Nothobranchius furzeri: one gene and its partner. The protein of the gene in region 2 purifies or fractionates together with the protein of the main gene of each other region. This does not show direct contact. Links are inferred from orthologs where the notes say so. Each region holds a gene or a part of one and is shown on either strand. Other genes may lie near its edges. The genes, in order: nphp4 and nphp1.

The links.
Region 1: the proteins of nphp1 (region 2) and nphp4 purify together in Homo sapiens (co-immunoprecipitation; 6 studies listed by BioGRID and IntAct, with this or other methods). This does not show direct contact. The link is inferred for Nothobranchius furzeri from reciprocal best matches to the Homo sapiens genes NPHP1 and NPHP4.

Annotation. Positions count from the first base shown.
Region 1 is NC_091755.1:34,971,083-34,974,907, forward strand, and holds part of nphp4 (nephrocystin-4), read left to right. Parts: intron 1-1,680; coding exon 1,681-1,910; intron 1,911-3,825. UniProt on the Homo sapiens protein: Involved in the organization of apical junctions; the function is proposed to implicate a NPHP1-4-8 module. Does not seem to be strictly required for ciliogenesis. Required for building functional cilia.
Region 2 is NC_091752.1:27,154,141-27,157,965, reverse strand, and holds part of nphp1 (nephrocystin-1), read right to left. Parts: intron 3,700-3,825; coding exon 3,598-3,699; intron 3,410-3,597; coding exon 3,282-3,409; intron 3,087-3,281; coding exon 3,047-3,086; intron 2,956-3,046; coding exon 2,871-2,955; intron 1-2,870. UniProt on the Homo sapiens protein: Together with BCAR1 it may play a role in the control of epithelial cell polarity. Involved in the organization of apical junctions in kidney cells together with NPHP4 and RPGRIP1L/NPHP8. Does not seem to be strictly required for ciliogenesis.

The DNA of each region.
Region 1 (3,825 bases), on a different chromosome or scaffold from region 2:
GCTCTGGGTGGTGTGTGTGTGTGTGTGTGTGTGTGTGTGTGTGTGTGTGTGTGTGTGTGTGTGTGTGTGTGTGTGTGTTTGTGTGTGTGTGTGTGTGTGTGTGTGTGTCATACTCCTGTCCCACTTCTGCCTGCCTGTGGCTGTGAAGGATGTGGTGTAGCCAGACACTATCAGGTTAGCTCACTGGCAGTCAACCCAGTTCCTCCTTGATAAGGAGTCTTGCGGGGTGGGGGTGGGGGGGTGTCTTGGGACAAAGAGTCATCAAAGGAGTGGAAAACAGAAAGACAAGCAGATATGGTAGAGCGCAACAGAGTTTATGTATAAGCTCAAGTCTGAGACGTGTACTCAGGCGGGTTAGTGACCACAGTGGTGCATTCGTCATAATCGAGTCAGATTATTTTAAGTCACTAATAATTACAGAGATGGTTTTGCCATCTGATGCTCTCTACTGAACCTTCAGCTGACACCTAATTACCATTTAGTAGCCATTTTTCATCATCTATGTCCCCCTTAGCGTTTAGAAACATACGTACAAAGAAAGACGATGAATACTTTTCCAGACCATTTCATTAGAAATTCCTCATTGGAGGTGTGCCTTTTCATGGGTGCGTTTGATGAAACTGATTTTCATGTGTTATGTTGTTTGTGACTTATGACAAGGTTATCAAGTATGCGTCTCAGGCTTCAATAGTTCTCATGTACTTAGAACAAAGCGAGATGGTGGCGTCATTTTGTCCATCTTTTTGTAGCGTCCTAGGATTGACCCCATTCTTCTGTCAGAGATTGTCCCACCCGCCTTGCCTGCTGGTGGTGGTCAAAGGGACTTGATCTGTTTTAACATTTCCAACATTGTTTTTATATTCATATGTGATTTAAAATAAAAAGAATTGACAGCTGAAGAAGGCTCAAAACCATTAACAGGAAATGTGAGGTCACATTGATTTAGGACACAAAAACAAACAAAATGCACACTTAGATTGGCATCAATAAATCAGCTGCAAATGAAAACCTCAAGAGAAAGCAAACACACCTTTAGAGATGTAACTTTTGTGTAGAACAGCGTAGAAGTGGGTTATAGCACAAGAAGGGTTTGCAGAGAAGTGTAGAAAACTGATGAGGGATCAGCAGAGGTCTGATGTCTGGTGTAAAGCAAACACAGCAGGTAAAGTTCCTAAAGAGCTAAAATAAAACACCACTTACATCTCATCTCTCTCAAATCAAATCAAATCACTTTTATTGTCACGTCACATGTGCAGGTATACTGGTACAGTACATGCGAGTGAAATTCTTGTGTGCGAGCTTCACTGCAACAGAGTTGTGCAAAAATACAGTAACGTAAAAACAAGCTAAATATAAAAATGGCTAATCTAAGTAATAATATGTATAGTATGAAAGGTTAATAAATGTGTGTGCTAGTATTTTATTTTATTTTATTTTCTGTCCCCATATATGGATCTACTTCTTGATTTTTTTCCGCCTGCCTCATTTAATTTTTGGATTCATGGCTCCTTTCAGCAAGTTCTGGTTAATTCCCTCCATTGCTGCAACGTGGGTTTTAAAACATGGCTGCAAACTAAAGTAGTGAAGTTTTGAGCTGCACTCAGATACAAACGGAGTGCATTACATGTACATTATGTAACATTACTTAATATTTAAGACTAGAGTTTTTTTTCTGCTTAGGGAATAAATTCTTCATGGTGGCCTCGGTCTATTTCACAGCCGGCAACACCGCACAAGTACACAGGCTGAAGATGGATGAAGATCACATGCGGTTGTACAGAGACAGGATCAGAGCGGATGCTGTCATCCCTGAAGAGCTAAACCTAAACTCGCAGCGCCGGAAGCTGGAGTGCATGGCTGCCGTGCGTCGACGAGAGGCCAAGGAAAATTCTGAAGCAGCTGAATCTTTGGTGAGGTCAAACTATGATCTAAAAACACAAATATGCTTGTGTCAAACTTATATTTTGACAATTTTTAGCTGTTTTGCTGTCTAAAATGGATAAATACTTACTGTTTTACAGCAGCAGAAATCTGAGATCATAAATTGAGTTTAACTCTCAAACATTTTCTACAAAACCCACCGTTATTACAACTCCCAAAACCCTGCAGGTGTTTGCGCCGCACAAAGAGAAATGAATAATTCCTCTTCCTAGAAGAACTTTCCTCTCACCTTTGGGTCACGTGTTAAATGTCATTTTGGCAGCAGTGCAGGTGTGCCTTTAACATTTTACACCAAACGTTTCTTCTGGGAAGACCCGTGTTTTAGTAATTTCACAGCTCTGTGATGGCCAATTCTGTGTGGGATAAAGCTGCTCACGCAGAAACAAGGCCGTTACACTAGCTCTAAAAATCAATTTGGCTTTTATTTTTACTGATTGATAACCACAACTTTATTTGAAACAGTCTCATGCTCAGCGGTTTCACTGGCTCTAGCTGTGTGGATAATCTGAGTAGAATTTTCTTATACACTCGACTTTCTGCTCTCACATTTTAAATTACATTTAAAGGAGCAATTTCTGAGAATTCTACAGTGAAATAATCTCAAAACACTGTAATGTTTTAATCATGTTGGAAGGAAGGTTACATGGAAACAGATTTATTTATTTATTTATTTATTCAAAAAAAAAAAAAACTAAAGAGGGACGTAGTTACTGTTTACCGTTAGTGAGCCTGTGAGGTTGCAGAGTTAACTTTGCATAGCCAGTTTTTGTGATTCAACACCAGCAGGTAACAAGCTCCAGAGTTAAAGAACTGAAGCCAGTATGTCAGAGCGACCCAGAAGTTATTTCTTGTACCCCTAAGAATTAGAAGCCAGTACTCGGCTCTAAAAACATCTCAAGCTACCTTTTCAATTACCAACAGCTTGATGTTACAGTGAAGTGAATCATGAGTCAATCGTGGCTTTTTACTTCCTTTAACAAGTCATTCAGAACTAGTTTCTAGCTAAAAGCAAGTCAGCAAATAACCACACTTCCTCTAATACCAGAGGCATATTACCGTAATAATTGTAGTATGTGTTCCCTACCGAAAAACACCCAATAGTGCTAACACCAGATATAAAAATGTATGTAATGGATTACAGGCTTGTCTTTAAGACATAAAAAATTGGATGACTCAAAACTTTTTGCTTTTAAATCAAGACAAGATGGAAGTTCTCATCTTTGGACCTGAAATTCAGAAAAGGAAATTGCTTAGTCAATCACCTGACCTGAATGGCATTAAATTAGTCTCCGAGAACAAAGTAAGGAACCTTGGTGTTATCTTCAACCAGGGCATGTCATTCAAATCCCACGTTAAACAGGTTTGTAGGATTTCCTTTTTCCACCTTTGGAATATTGCTAAGATTAGAAGCATCCTTTCCAGGAGAAATGCTGAAAAACTAGTTCATGCATTTATTACATCAAGACTGGATTACTGTAATTTATTACTCTCAGGAAGTCCACAGAATGTAGTTAAAAGTCTTCAGCTTGTCCAAAATGCTGCAGCTAGAGTTTTGATGAGAATTAAAAAGAGAGGTCATATCTCTCCTGTCTTAGCTTCCCTACATTGGCTGCCTGTTAAATTCAGAATAGATTTTAAGATCCTGCTTCTCACATATAAAGCTCTTCCTCCATCATACATCAGTGATCTGATTGTTCCATATGTTCCTAACCGAGCACTTCACTCTCAGATTGCAGGTTTACTGGAGTTCTCAGAATTTCTAAAAATAGGATAGGAAGCAGATCTTTTAGTTATCAGGCTCCTCTTTTGTGGAACCAGCTCCCAGCTTTAGTCCGTGAGGCAGACACCTTGTCTACTTTTAAGACTAGGCATAAAACATTTTTA
Region 2 (3,825 bases):
ACGAAGTCGCCATTATTTTTTAACAACTGGGCATTGTTTCATTCCTTTTCAACAAAATTTTGATGGATATTTCCAGAGATTAATGGTTAAAAACTATATATTGTCTCTTTAAATCAGGTCTAAAATACATGGGAGCGGGTTTAAGTATCTGGGCAACGCCGTATTAGATGCCATGTTTCCTTCTACGGGAGCCCATGAGGACAAAATACATTTACTTATTTGTAACAGATGGTTGCAAAACTTTCATCATTGTTAAATGTTGTTGTTTTACACATTTACCTCCACTTGTTGCCAGTGATGAAAGGGAGTCTGATGTGCTTGTTATTTTGCTAAGGTTTGCACTCCCCAGGGCTTTTTGACTCTAATGATCATCCATTGGTAAGGTCTTACTCCAACACAAAAATACTGCTTGCTTGCAACGATTTAGGTATCTACTGCCCCCTGTAGCCAGGAAAAATACACACAGTCACTTTAATATACAGGTGCTGGCCAGTAAATTAGAATATCATCAAAAGGTTGAAAATATTTCAGTAATTCCATTCAAAACGTGAAACTTGTACATTATATTCATGCAATGCACACAGACCAATGTATTTCCAATGTTCATTACATTTAAATTTGATATTCATAAGTGACAACTAATGAAAACTCCAAATTTGGTATCTCAAAAAATTAGAATATTCTGAAAAGGCTGAATATAGAAGACACCTGCTGGCACTCTAATCAGCTGATTTACTCAAAACACCTGCAAAGGCCTTTAAAAGGTCCCTCAGTCTTGTTTTGAAGGCACCACAATCATGGGGAAGACTTCTGACTTAACAGCTGTCCAAAAGACAATCATTGACACCTTGCACAAGGAGGGCAAGACACAAAAGGTGATTGCTAAAGAAGCTGGCTGTTCGCAGAGCTCTGTGTCCAAGCACATTAACAGACAGGCGAAGGGACGGAAAAAATGTGGTAGAAAAAAGTGTACAAGCTCTAGGGATAACCGCACCCTGCAGAGAATTGTGACGACAAACCCATTCAAAAATGTGGGGGAGATCCACAAAGAGTGGACTGCAGCTGGAGTCAGCGCTTCAAGAACCACCACGAGGAGACTCATGAAAGACATGGGATTCAGGTGTCGCATTCCGTGTGTCAAGCCACTCTTGAACAAGAAACAGCGCAAGAAGCGTCTCGCCTGGGCCAAGGACAAAAAGGACTGGACTGATGCTGAGTGGTCCAAAGTTATGTTTTCTGATGAAAGCAAGTTCTGCATTTCCTTTGGAAATCAAGGACCCAGAGTCTGGAGGAAGAGCGGAGAAGCACAGAATCCACGTTGCATGAGGTCCAGTGTAAAGTTTCCACCGTCAGTGATGGTGTGGGGTGCCATGTCATCTGCCGGTGTTGGCCCACTCTGTTTCCTGAGGTCCAGGGTCAATGCAGCCGTCTACCAGGAAGTTTTAGAGCACTTCATGCTTCCTGCTGCTGACCAACTTTATGGGGATGCAGACTTCACCTTTCAACAGGACTTGGCACCTGCACACAGTGCCAAAACCACCAGCACCTGGTTCAAGGACCATGGTATCCCTGTCCTTGATTGGCCAGCAAACTCGCCTGACCTTAACCCCATAGAAAATCTATGGGGTATTGTGAAGCGGAGGATGCAATACGCTAGACCCAACAATGCAGAGGAGCTGAAGACGACTATCAGAGCAACCTGGGCTCTCATAACACCTGAGCAGTGCCACAGACTGATCGAGTCCATGCCACGCCGCATTACTGCAGTTATTGAGGCAAAAGGAGCCCCGACTAAGTATTGAGTGCTATACATGCACATTCTTTTCATGTTCATTCTTTTCAGTTGGCCAACATTAGAGAAACAAACATTTTTTCATTGGCCTTTAGAATATTCTAATTTTCTGAGATACCAGATTTGATGTTTTCATTGGTTGTCACCTATAAATATCAAAATTAAACGTAATAAACATCGGAAATACATTGGTCTGTGTGCATTGCATGAATATAATGTACAAGTTTCACGTTTTGAATGGAATTACTGAAATATTTTCAACCTTTTGATGATATTCTAATTTACTGGCCAGCACCTGTAGTTATTTCAAACAACTTAAGTATTAAATTTTTTTTTAATTAATTCACTTAAGTATTTAAAAAAATACTTAATTGAATTAATCATTTTTAGAAGAGACTAACGGCCGTCCATGTTAGTTGAACTAAATCTGTTTACTTTCAGCATTTTGTAAAACTTGCATGGTTCGAGGGGAACAGGAATGTTTAGTAAACTCAACTAAACCGGGTTTACAGTGTACTAAGGTTCTTACAACCTAATATTTAAAGCATGAAACATCCAGATACATGAAATGTGAGGGTTCATTCTAGAGGATGATGCTTAATTGAGTATCGTGTATTTTTCATTCATTTTTAAGCTGACAAGTTTCGGCTAACGCTGTAGCCTTCCTCAGAGCTCCACCGATGTCCGTGGCGTCACTTCCTTCTCCATTTCTTAAACGGATTAACGAAGAAGGAAGTGACCCCACCAACATCTGCGGTGCTCTGAGGAAGGCCGCAGCATTAGCCGAAACTTGTCAGCCTAAAAGTTAAAAACAGATCTTTACTGCGCTGTTTAGATAAGAACCAAGCAATGGAATTTAACGGATCAAACAAAACGAATGTAAAACAGATATTATACTTTTGTATTGGTCTGTTTTTGGCTAAAGGATTTTCAAAACCACCAAATGAGAGTAAATAAATATTTAACCAATGAAAATATTTTGTCCACCTGCAAGTTGTTTTGAGACTTGTTACGGAGTTACGCCATTTTCAGCATCAACTAGTAGGTTCAAAACTCCACACTCCTGCAGCAAACTGACCTTCCTCCAGCAGTTTACTAAGAGTTGATGGCCTGAATCCCGATGGTATGGCTCCCATAGCTGACAGCACATCTGTGGTATCAATCTGTTTCACACAGAGAAGACCATCGGGGGAAACCCTTTAGATTATGTAAGATTTTACTTCATCATTTAAAGAGACAGGTGTTCAGTTTTACCTGAGTCAGAGCCTTTCTGACTGTCGACCAGTTGGAAGCTCTGTTGCCAAAGAAAAATAAGAAAAATAAATACATTCCAATCAAATGCAATGTAAAATTTTTTTATTTAAACACATTAAAAAAATTATAAATAAATCATATATAAAATAAATAAATAAGTTTAAACTATCGCTTTTTGTTTTTGTAAGTAAAACAATCCAGATGCTGAATATTTCACTTGAAACGAAAAAAAAACCTCATTCTGTCTCGACCATCAGCCACTTCTTCCCTAACTTCCTCTTCCTTCTCCTCTAACTCATCTTCATCATCCTCTTCATCACTGTCCTCTTCGTCATCATCCTCATCACCAACACGAGAGCCAGGCTAATACACAGGGTGAAATCAAATTGTTTAGAATTCTGTTTGTTTAAAAAAGAAGAGACACTGACCTCTCCCTGTATTTACAGCCACATGAGATTTTAGATGAATATCATTGGTAATGTTTTATAATAAGATCTTTAGCTTAATATCTGTACGAATGGATTGTGATGCTGAAACATTTGATACTGTACCTGTAAGAAGGTTTTTGGGACCACTCCTTTGTTGCCTTTTTTGTCCTGAGCCAGCCACCATCCGTCTGCTGTCTTCTTAATTATTGTCAACACCTCCCCCTTCTGAAAGAAGAAAATATAACGAACCAGGACTCAATAGAGATAAAAGAGTAGGAAACAGGTTTCATGACCCTTACACATTAGAAGGCACCTAAGGAGGCATATTATTTTAATAATAAGTCTCTCAGA